Linked DNA regions of Mus musculus. The protein of the gene in region 2 purifies or fractionates together with the protein of the main gene of each other region. This does not show direct contact. Links are inferred from orthologs where the notes say so. Each region holds a gene or a part of one and is shown on either strand. Other genes may lie near its edges.

Region 1 (4,288 bases), on a different chromosome or scaffold from region 2:
TGTTTTGCCTACACTGGAGTGTGTCTGGTGACCTTGAAAGTCAGCAGATGACACTAAATCCCTTGGGACTGAAGTGATAGTCTATGCAAGGTGAGCCTGCATGTGGTTGCTGGGAAATGAACCGGGGTCCTCTGGAAGGGCAGCCAATGTTCTTAACTCCTGAACCATCTCTCCAATCTGTGATTGTAATCTTGTTCAACAAAAACTAGCTTAGGTAAGAGTACTGTAGTTCAAATCTTAGCCCTGATGGGCCTGTAATTTGTAACAATACTCCTGCCACTGCCTTTCAAATGCTGGGATTCCAGGCATATACCACTATATCTACCTTCAAAGGTCATTTTCTTCCACTATTTTTGCCTTTATGGCTGTCTAAGAAGGAAATAAAAGGCAACTCTATCTACACCCCATTTTAAATGGGATCTTGCCTGATTTACAATGAATAATTCATTCTGAGAGCAAGGTACGCCTCCAAGACATTGTTTTAAGAAACAACTTAACCGGTGGTGGTGCACGCCTCTAATCCCAGCGCTTGGGAAGCAGAGGCAGGTGGATTTCTGAGTCCAAGGCCAGCCTGGTCTACAAAGTGAGTTCCAGGACAGCCAGGGCTACACAGAGAAACCCTGTCTGGGGGGAAAAAAAAGAAAGAAAGAAAAAAAAAAAACCCACAAAAAAAAAAAAAAAACCCCACAAAAAAAAAAAAAAAAAAAAAAAAAAAGAAAAGAAAAGAAACAATTTAATTCAGGAGGCAGAGGCAGGTGGATCTCTAGTTCAAGGCCAGCCTGGTCTACTACAAAGTGAGTTCTAGTAGAGCTAGGGCTACACAAAAAACTCTGTCTCCACAAACAACCACAAAACAATCTACTTCAAACACACCAATGGATGAGATACACAAGTGCCTAAGGGTTCTGAGCCTGCTTTGTATTCACTGGTAAAGAAGACAATTGGGCACACCAGGATGACCACCATTTCTGTAACCTTCTCAACTTCTTCCCATCTGCCCCGAGTTACTTACAAAGATCCATAATGTGGTTCCTGCAGATGGCACAGTTATCAACCACAATGTCCCAGGCCCAGAGGGCCACTGCATTCCACTGCAAGGAGAAGAGGGGAAACAATGCATTTTCCTTGTAATCTAACAGCTCATTAGGACTTCAGCTTGCAGCTTCAGTTACCAACGCCCCAGCCACAGGGCCTACCAAAGAAAGGATGTTTTTGGATTATACTATTTGGACTATATCAGAGGACAACAGCAGACCACCTGTACACTTCCCCATTCCTTGAAAGATGAAGTATATGAACATGGGTATCTTCAATTTTTTATATATAATGTAAAATAATTTAGCTAGCCAAACCAACGTGAGAATATTAGTACTATTTTCTGTACAGCTTTCCCTGACAGCTGTGGAAGAACTCAAAATCTGCATAAGCACGGGCTCTCCACAAAGTTTTGGACTCAGAGGCAAGGAAGTGAACAGACTGAACTAAGATAATAAATGGACCACTAAGTGGATAATCACAGGATAAGCTGGATAGCAAGTTACCTACCCAGTTTCAGTACACAGAACGAGGTCATCACTTAAACCTTAAAAGAGCACTGCAAGCAAAGTAGAATCCACTGCGATTTTCTTTTCCTCTTACCAAGTAAACTGATGTTCTCAACGTTCATATATCCAAACAATTACTTTGTTAGCTCCAGTAAGTCGACCTAAGACTTCTTATGTTAGACAAGGCACCCTTTTCAAGGACTACTTTGGTTTGACTTTCCAAATTCAAGCATAAGAGTTTAGTAAATTCTACATTACATTTTTATTTTTCATAATGGCTGCAGGCTGTAACTGAGCAGCAGTGGCCACAATGAGATGACACAAAAAGGGGGTGGGGTGAGGGATATTCTCAGCGACACGTTCCAAAAATAATCCATAAAAAGAAAACACCTTGCCCTCTTCAAGATCTTCATTTTTAACAGATCTGTGTAATCTTAGGTAGGAATCAACACTTTTAAAGGACTAGCAAACTATGAAGGGGAACGGCATACAAAAGGACGTTTCATATTTTTGTTTTTCTGTTCTCAGGTCATTAGCAATTAGTACTCCACCTTCTTAAATGGCACAAGTTCTGGGCTTGCTTTTAAAACAAAGCCCACCAGGCTTTTAAATTATCATTTTGTGTTAGAAGTGTACAGGGACATCAGAGAACCACTGGAGTGGCAGATGCTATGTGACAACTAGTAGCCATCTCGTTAGAACCAAGCTTTACACTTGACTGTGGGTTTAGAGGCCAATGGAGGCCGCCATACAATCGAGGGCCCACGCCAGGTCCCTCGGAGTCAATAGATTCTAGGATCCAGGAAGGGGCGGAGCAAGAACACCGGCAGAGCCCCTCTGCGCTGTCATCTCACGTTCCCGGGGTTCTCCGCACGGCCCCATCCTCCACCCGCCGCAGTCTCTTCACGAGTCTGCATCCCACCCACCCCACCCTGTCCTTCCCCCACCTCTCAGTCACTTCAGTGACAGCTCAAGCGCTTGGCTCCCGCATCGAAGTCAACCTCGCGTATTTCAGTAAGCAGCTCTGCGATTGGCCCCACAGCTTCCCCAGCAAGACTAATAGGGCCCCAGACACTGGGCCACCAGCATGCCGATCAACCCTAGGCCCGCCCCCCGGCTTCCGTTCTTGGTGCCCGGTCCCAGGAACGCCCTGAAATGAAGCCCTTTCCCCCGCGCCTAGCTCTTCCTCGGGCCTGCCAGCCATATCCGCGCCTCCCTAGCTTCCTTGAGGAAGGCGCTGGCGAGCCCAACCTTTTTAACTTCAAAGCGCTTCTTGCCCGCGCCGCTGTTGGTGCCGCTGGGGGTATCCACATCCATCGCCGCCGCCATTTTGGAAACACACAGTCTGTCGTGTGACCACTGCGCCTGCGCACCGGCTCACTTTCCGCCGCCTGCCCCGCACACCAGGCGCCTCCTCCCGCACCCCTCCCCTCATTGGCGCGAGCGTGGAGAAGGGGCGGAGCCTGCGGTCACGCCCCTTAAAGGCGCAGGCGGAGGTTTCCCGCCCCCCTCCTCCCCATCTCTCTCAGCTGGGGAGGAGGCTGGAGTGATTGAGGCGGGGCCGGGCGGGGCCGGGCGGGGCCGAGAGAAGGGAGCCAACCGGTGGGAACGTCCGTGAGGTCTCGATGCTTCTCGCATTCTGGGAAGCCCTGTGGTCTGACTCCTTCATTTGGGGCGGCGGCTGCTTCCTTCTTCTGCCCCAGGACTTAAGCCCTGGTCCAGATCCACAGAGCTGCCCCCGAGTCCGTGGTTGCAAAGGGCATGGGCTGGTCTTTGGAAACCCGAAACTCCAAACCGGCCTTCTGCTGACCGTGGTCGGCTTCGGAGCCAGGCGGTGTCTCTCTGGAGGCCTGTGGCCCGGCTTACCAAGGCCTGGTCACCGTCTGCGTTATCAATTTCAGATTGGGAAATTATTTGATAGGGAGAGAAGAGGCCCAGGAGCAAACAGAGCAGGCATTCTGCAACTTTGCCTTTATCTTCTCACAGGAAAGGTGATGGGGATGCCATAGTAAATCCCATAACCAGCCAGTTCTAAATGGTCCTCCTTTCTCCTCATTTCCTATCGAGTTTTGCTACTGTGCTACGATTAAATTAGTACATTTGTAGTGGCTGAACTTGAGTTCTGGTGAGGCATTCTGATTTTCTTACCGGTCATTACCATCGAGCTACAGAACACATACGTTTTGTAAGCTTCCATGATTAGTCCAGCCCTCCGCTGTTTTGTCTCCTAAATTTGCGGAGTTATGACTAGAATACATCACCCTTGAATTTCCTGTGTGTTCTAGTTCCCTCAACAGTACAACAAAAAGGGTTTTACCGGAAATGTGCCCCTCCCCCCCCCCAGAAAGGGTTTTTCTCTGTGTAGCCCTGGCTGTCCTGGAACTCAGGACTGGACCTAGGCCGGCTTCGAACTCAGAAATCTGCCTGCTTCTGCTTCCCAAGTGCTGGGATTAAAGGCATGCGCCACCACTGCCTGTCCTGAAATGTTCTGTTAAAAGAAATACTTGCTGGTGTGTAATGCGGTGTGTCATTGATGCACTTGCTAAGCAGGGCAATACATCCTGAATACCACCACAGTTTTAACTTGCACAGAGACTTGTGAGAGCCCTGCAAGGTGTGTGTGTGTCTGCCCAAGTTCTACCTCCCACACTAAATCTGTCATTGGTCTATGTGTCTACAGACCCCCTAAGGGATGCTAGAAACCCATAGTTAATTAAGATACTGAGGACATATTTATCCATTCG
Region 2 (3,644 bases):
CGTCAGACCCAAGAAGAAACCGATGGATTAGAATTTGGAAGATGGGCTTTCTGAGGCCAGATGGAAGTACTGAGCCATGGTATCTAAGACAGAGAGGATCCAGGCCGTGGTAGGATGCTTGTAATCCCAGAGGTAGAGAGAGGCAGAAAGATAGGGAGTTCAAGGCCAGCCATGGCCACATAGCAATGTTGAGGTCAGTTTGGGACCCCCGTCTGAAAGAAAGGAAAAATGAAATTAGACTAAAGGGCATAAGGAAGTAAAGGGCATTGCTGAGGAGGAAGGTGAGGCTGTCTGTATACTGTATACATTGTTGCATATATAGTCTATATAGTCTATAGACAGTGGTCACCTTATGGGCCTTAGCTGGTCAATAGCAGGTCCTCTTCCCCTTCCCTTTCCTCCTGCCTCCAACCCTCCAGGTGTTGTGGGATTCAACAGGCCATACCTACTGGGTGCACTGGCACATGCTGGAGATCTTGGGCTTTGAGGAAGACATCGAGGATGTGATTGATATTGAAGAGTTACAGGAGCTAGGGGCCAATGGAGCACTGAGCATCGGTGAGCTCTGGGCTGGAGGTTGGCTCTGAGCAGAGAGAGATAGACCTACCTGGGCAGGCCGTGACTTGGCTGTTGCCACATACCATTTACTACGCAGTCCCGCCGTCCCAGCGCTGGAAGCCCATAACTCAGCTCTTTGCCGAGCCTTACGTGGTACCCGAGGAGGAAGACAGGGAAGAGAGCGAGAACTTGACCCAGGCTGAGTGGTGGGAGCTCCTCTTCTTCATCCGGCAGTTGAGTGAGGCAGAGCGCCTTCACATCGTGGATCTCCTGCAAGACCACCTGGAAGAGGAGGTAGGCACCCCTCAGAAGTGTCCCCCGCAAGTCTGCATCGGAACATTCGGACGCTCGGGAGGTGAAGCACGGAGGTCGGACAGCTTCAGGGGCCCACCACGGAGGGATCTGGAATGTTCAGAGATGCAAGGGTCGGTGGGCTGCCAGCCACAAGAGGTTCAGAATGGTTGATGTGTGTGTGTAGAGAGACCCCCATTCCCACCGAGGATCTGCTCGCTCAGCTGCGACAGGCTGACTTTTCTTCCCCGTAGCGCGTTCTGGACTACGATATGCTGCCTGAGCTGACCGTGCCCGTTGACTTGGCCCAGGATCTGCTGTTGTCTCTGCCTCAGCAACTTGAGGACAGTGCTCTGAGGGACCTGTTCAGCTGCAGTGTCTACAGGAAGTATGGGCCCGAAGTCCTGGTAGGGCATCTAAGCTACCCATTTGTGCCAGGTGCCCAGCCAAATTTATTCGGAGCCAATGAAGAGTCTGAAGGTGAGTGCCCTGCAGACAGCAGCAGAGAGACCTGCCTTTGGGAAAGTGTCCTCCAAGAGGTGTCTCCTCTAACAGTGTGCCATCTTGTCTGAAAGAGATACCCTACCCACAATCCCAGAAACTTACGATGTGCATGTGTGTGTGTGTCTGTATGTCCAGACCCAAGGATAATTACAGATGTCATTCCTCAGCTGTCATTTATCTTTCTTTTATTTAAATTGATTTTATTTTGGCTGAGTGTGGTGATCCACACAGATATTTGAGTTTGAGGTCAGCCTGGTCTACAGAGCAAATTCCAGGATAGCCAGGGCTACACAGAAACCCCTTTCTCAAAACTACCAAGCCCCCTCCCACTCTCCCCACCCCCAAGAAAATTATTTTATTTTATCCCTATGGATGCAGTGCCCACAGAGGTCAGAAGAGGGCACTGGCTCTCCTGGAGTTGAAGTTCTAGATCCTTGTGAGCTGCGCTGTGGATGCTGGGAACTGAACCTGGATCCCTCCCTTCTCTCTTTTACTCTTTCTCTCTCTCTCTCTTTCTTTCTTTCTTTCTTTCTTTCTTTCTTTCTTTCTTTCTCTTTCTTTCTCTTTCTTTCTCTTTCTTTCTCTTTCTTTCTTTCTTTCTTTCTTTCTTTCTTTCTTTCTTTCTTTCTTTCTTTCTTTCTTTCTTTCTTTCTTTTTTCGAGACAGGGTTTCTCTGTGTAGCCCTGGCTGTCCTGGAACTCACTCTGTAGACCAGGCTGGCCTCGAACTCAGAAAAACGTCTGCCTTTGCTGCCCAAGTGCTGGGATTAAAGATGTATGCCACCACTTTTTGGCAGTGCTGCCAATTCTTACCACCCTCTTGTTCCTTCAGCCAAAGATCCCCCACTTCAGAGTGCCAGCCCTGCCCTGCAGCGCCTGGTGGAGAGCTTGGGCCCCGAAGGGGAGGTCCTTGTGGAACTGGAACAAGCCCTCGGCTCCGAGGCTCCCCAGGAAACTGAGGTCAAGTCCTGCTTGTTGCAGCTCCAGGAGCAGCCCCAGCCCTTCCTCGCTCTGATGCGGAGCCTGGACACTTCCGCCAGCAACAAGACCCTGCACCTCACTGTGCTCAGGTGGGGGGCAGTGAGGGGCAGGCTTGGGCACCTGAAGGCCTCACGCCAACCTGATCTCCTTCTACCTTTCCGGCTCTGTCTCTCCCTCTAGAATCTTAATGCAGCTGGTGAACTTCCCAGAGGCGCTGTTGCTACCCTGGCACGAGGCCATGGATGCCTGCGTGACCTGCCTTCGGTCCCCCAATACTGACCGAGAGGTAACCCTGTCCCACTCTGGGGAGAAGCTGGGGGATGGGGAGGACACCAGTGAGGTAGACCCCATTTCCCTGCTCCGGGCGAGGCTTGGAGGACGCAACAGAATCTTGGTGTTCTCGCTTTTAAAATGAAAAAAAAATTTTTTTTTAAAATAGGTAGTACATTCACAAAGTTCACAAGTCCAAATGGCACAAGGTAGTCAGTCCTTGAGAATCCTGGCTCTTCACCGATTCCTATTGTCTCAGTGTCCTTGCTGGTAACCCACTGTATTAATTATTAGTCCATCCCGTGCTTCCTTATGCAAACAGGAACAAGCTCTGTGGACTTCCTTCCAGCCAGGCCCTCAAGAGGAAGGGGAGGGGGTCCCCTGCTCTTGCAGAGGACGCAGATTTCATTCTCAGCACCCACAGGGCAGTTCACAACTGTCTGTAACTCCAGTTCCAGGGAATCAGATAACCTCCTCCTAGCTCCATGCACACACATGGTGTGACACGTACGTGCAAGGCAAATACTCAGACACATAAAATTCAAAAAAAATTTTAAAAAGCTTTTAAGTGAGGGAGTGAGGGACTCCCAGGACTTTCCTTCCTATCAGAGGTCCTGGGGACAGGAGGTGTTAGAAGGGTCAAAGGTCGTGATGTTAATGAGTTTCCCAAAGTGATGCCTTCGGTTTCCAAGCTGTTCTTACTGAGGGTCAGCAAAGTTCAGGCCTTCTCTATCCCCTGCCAGCCCTCTTAAGTGTCTGGGCTGGGGGCGTACACATCTCAACACCAACCCTGCAACTGGTTCTTGGGGGGGCCACAGCTGAATCAAAGAAGTAAGGGTTTTTTACCTGCTCCGCACACACTCGGTGGCTGAGAGCTCCAGGGGCCAGGAAGGCTTTTCCCATCGGTTTGGCCTCGTTTCTCTAACTGCGCCTGGTTTTTATATTACTTCCCACACTGTCTTGCTCAGCTCCCAGCACAGAGTGGCCATGAATCACCACCGCTGTCTGTGTAGCCCAGGCTTGCCCCTTTCTTCACTGACC
Region 3 (3,644 bases), on a different chromosome or scaffold from region 2:
TTGCCCTGATTAGGATGCACTCCGCGTGCTGCTTAATACAATCTGCCATCAAATGCCAAGAGCTTCAGAACTAAATTGGGAAATATGTCCAGCTCCACAGAGCGATGCTGAGAGCACTAAGTGGGGCTCCGGATCCCTTTATGAGACACGAGCTCATCGACAGCATGGTGTTCGCCCGCGGCAGCTCTGCCTCTAGCCATCCACCCTGAGAGCACATTCAGGCAGCAAAGAGATTAATAAAGGTAGTGTGCTGTTATAAATCGTTACGGAAACAAAAGCACTGCTGATGAATTCCAAACTACGTGACAAAACCAAGTTTTAGGAGGCTGCTGGACTATCAGGGCCATGTTGAGGGCTGTGTGGATGCATGGCAGTGTGAAACGACGTGGTTAAGACACTTCTGCCTCTTCTACTGTCAGCTGCCATTCAGTGACATTTATACTCAAGTCTGAGAACTAAGAACGGACATCAGAGACTCAGAATTCTTTTCTGCTCTAAGTTAAAGACCTCCGAGCAGCCCTTCTTGCTGGGACACTGGGAATGATTCCTGCACCATCATCCCTGCCCGATGCAATGAGCATGGCCCTTAGAGACAACATATAAGCCTCAGCTGCTCAGCCCCGCTCACCAAACCCAGAAGTCATGGTCCATTCCTCATTGCCTAAGAGAGGTCAGACAAGTGTTCCCCAGAACCATGGGCCCCAGGAGTATCCAGCAAGCAGCGGAGAGGTGCGCAGCAGTGCACTCACCACTCTGCACCATGACACTGGCCTAAGTGCTGCTGGCACTGCCACTCCATGTGGGGAAGCCTTCCAAGCAGAGAGATACAAAGTATAAACTGAACAACAAAGTCAGGCAAAGCCCCACCCTCCTTCCCAGCCGCAAAGCCTAGAGAAGAGGCACCCAGGAAGTCTGTGGGGTGGGCGCTGTTACCCCTCAAGAATATCCTCAGGGCAGCAGGTTTGACCCAGTGAGTCCTCAGAGAGAAGCTTACCCTGTAAGCACTGGTGCAAGCCACACTCTTGCAGAGTGGGTGGAATGGTGAGGCCACACATACGGCCTGATCGATGCCAGAAAGCTCTAAAACCCAACCAAACAGGAGCAGGGGGCTCTGTGATGTGTTACAAAGTCACCCCAACAGGCAGAGACAAGGAGCAGTGATGCAGAGTGCTCTAGCACTTACCCATGATCATCTTCCTGAGGCGGGTCACTCATGAGAGCCCTAACTGGCCTGGACTCCTTATGTAGATCAGGCTAACCTTCAAGACAAATATCTGCTTGCCTCTGCTCCAGGGTGCTGGGATGAAAGGTGAGAGCTACCACACCCAGCTCCACCCACACTTTACAGAAAGAGGGCCCATTTCACAAGGATGCACAAGAAATGGACAACACCAACTTGGCTCCAAAACCAAATGACAGGCAGTAGCTGACAGGCTTGGGGAGGAAGCTCCTGCCCTACACTTCCCATATCTGAAATTCTCAATCAGGAGTCCGAACAAAAGTACTCCAGGGGCTGGAGCAGTGGCTCTGGTTCAAAGTACTGGCTGTTCTGCGAAGGACCTGGATTTAGTTCCCAGAGCCCACTTGGTGGTTCACAGCCATCTGGAACTCCCATTCCAGGAGTTCAGTGCCCTCTTCTGGCCTCTGCAGGTACTGCATGCTTAGTGCCCAAACATACATGCAGACAAAATACCCTCACATATATATATATTAAAGTGTTTAAAAATCTGTTTTAAAGTAAAGGCAAAAATACAAACTAGAAACTTTTCTTTGACTTTGTATAGCCAAAGAAGATGCTGGTAAGTGCTGTGTGGCACCTGCTTTGCCCTGCACATCGAGCCCAGGAACAATGGCTGCATGAGGGTCCAGGTGTACAGAGCACTGACTCCCCCAGGCCTGCCAGCCTGCACCACCGAGGGCAGCCCTGCTTCCAGCTCAGACAGACAAGCTCTGTAGAGGGCTTATTAACACCGAAATCTGTGTGTAATGCTGTCTAACACTCCACTGCCAGCCACACACTGATGTCGTGGCTACCTGCGATGCCCACAGGACCTGCCAACTTAGTGGATGAAGGGTGGACGCCGAAACACTATTACTCAATGTTCACACAGCTGTGGGCCTAAACCACCAGTGTGGTCAGCATATGGTACAGAGACATCGTCCAGTGACCAGAAATAGCACCCTTGGATACTCCTACAGGCTACAGAGTTAAGCCCCTGATTAAAATCCATCATAGTGTTTGGATGTCAGTGGGCTTTTATCATGGCTGATCAATAGTGGACTGTAGTTAAGCCCCAGTCCTGTATCAGGTACAAATGAAGTCAGATCAAAACTCTCTGTTCTCACAAAGCCTTCATCTGAGTCCTAGCTATAAAGAGCAGACACATGTCAGTCGGCTGCTGGCCCGTGTCGGTTAAGCCATGCACTAGAGGCTCAGTGACTATGTGCTTGTGGACTCTGAATTGGCCGTATGCATTCAGATGGCACTGAAAGCGCCTGTGCTGCTCATTAGGCTGCTGTGAGCCGCCTACCAGCAGGTTTGCCTAGAGCTATACACACGGGGAACTTACGTCTGTGCCTCTGGACTATGAGCTCTAAGCACAAGCTGGAACTCTACAGCAGGGAGCTGGGGACATGAGAGGTGAAACACTGCCCAAGGTACACTGCTAGGCACAGAACAGGTCACATACCATGACCCTCTGTCTACAAAGATCCATCCTCAGCCTCTGTCTGTCTGTCTGTCTGTCTGTCTATCTGGCGTCTACATGGACACCTGTGTGCAGCGGAGGAGGAACTCCGTCTCGTGCTCCATTTCATTGCTTGGACATTTCTGTCTTGCTCATACACTGCCCTGAACCAGCTGAAAACAAGAGCATTCAGAGTGTTAACACACTACTTGTGTGGTGGTGCACATGGCTCCTCCCAGCACATCATGAGTTCTAGGACAGCCTGGGATATGCGAGACCCTGTTTCAAACAACCATAACCAAACCAAACAAAACACAAAGTGCTTCATTTTTTGGCTGCCTTAAAAACCAAATCTATACTCTTCCTTGTTAATGTATACATGCCACTGTTTCCATACCTTGTTTCCTTCATACACCCATCCTAGACTCTTCACTCCAAAGGCAACCTGGCTGGCTGAGACATCCAGACATGTGGCAGGCTGGCCATAGACATAATGAAGGGTTCTGGCTGAGTCGTCGGCCTTCAGCAGGTACACCAGATCCCCGGCTGTGGCTATTGCCACAGGGTACCTCCCAGTATTCGGAACTATTTCAAGGTAGTCAACCTGTGGAGAGAGGAGTTGTTTAGTGCCCCCCAGTCATCTCGACTTGGTCTGTACAGTCAAGAAACAGTTGAGCACAGGGACCATTTACAGGGATGGGCATGGCTCCTGTCCAATGAAAAGATGCCTCTAACAGTGAAAACCAAGTGCACTCTGAGAAGGGAAGCCACGTCCCCCCGACTCAGCACAAGCAAGGCTCAGGAAGCCCGAGGACACAGCTGGAGGGACCAGGAGATCTAATCCAGTCCAACTCCTGCTAAGGGAAGGATGGCAGCACTTACCATTGGTGTGAGCTCACTGTGACCCAGGAGGTCCTTCTATCAGGGCTACAGAACCTGCATGGCAAAGGCTTGTGC

The links.
Region 1: the proteins of Cul7 (region 2) and Rbx1 purify together in Homo sapiens (affinity purification with mass spectrometry; 9 studies listed by BioGRID and IntAct, with this or other methods). This does not show direct contact. The link is inferred for Mus musculus from reciprocal best matches to the Homo sapiens genes CUL7 and RBX1.
Region 3: the proteins of Cul7 (region 2) and Fbxw8 purify together in Homo sapiens (affinity purification with western blotting; 12 studies listed by BioGRID and IntAct, with this or other methods). This does not show direct contact. The link is inferred for Mus musculus from reciprocal best matches to the Homo sapiens genes CUL7 and FBXW8.

What each region holds. Positions count from the first base shown.
Region 1 is NC_000081.6:81,464,958-81,469,245, reverse strand, and holds the start of Rbx1 (E3 ubiquitin-protein ligase RBX1), read right to left. Parts: upstream 2,931-4,288; 5' UTR 2,874-2,930; coding exon 2,796-2,873; intron 1,092-2,795; coding exon 1,013-1,091; intron 1-1,012. UniProt on the Homo sapiens protein: E3 ubiquitin ligase component of multiple cullin-RING-based E3 ubiquitin-protein ligase (CRLs) complexes which mediate the ubiquitination and subsequent proteasomal degradation of target proteins, including proteins involved in cell cycle progression, signal transduction, transcription and transcription-coupled nucleotide excision repair.
Region 2 is NC_000083.6:46,653,331-46,656,974, forward strand, and holds part of Cul7 (cullin-7), read left to right. Parts: intron 1-419; coding exon 420-558; intron 559-655; coding exon 656-852; intron 853-1,103; coding exon 1,104-1,329; intron 1,330-2,184; coding exon 2,185-2,422; intron 2,423-2,513; coding exon 2,514-2,619; intron 2,620-3,644. UniProt on the Homo sapiens protein: Core component of the 3M and Cul7-RING(FBXW8) complexes, which mediate the ubiquitination and subsequent proteasomal degradation of target proteins. Core component of the 3M complex, a complex required to regulate microtubule dynamics and genome integrity.
Region 3 is NC_000071.6:118,089,412-118,093,055, forward strand, and holds part of Fbxw8 (F-box/WD repeat-containing protein 8), read right to left. Parts: intron 3,292-3,644; coding exon 3,085-3,291; intron 1-3,084. UniProt on the Homo sapiens protein: Substrate-recognition component of the Cul7-RING(FBXW8) ubiquitin ligase complex, which mediates the ubiquitination and subsequent proteasomal degradation of target proteins.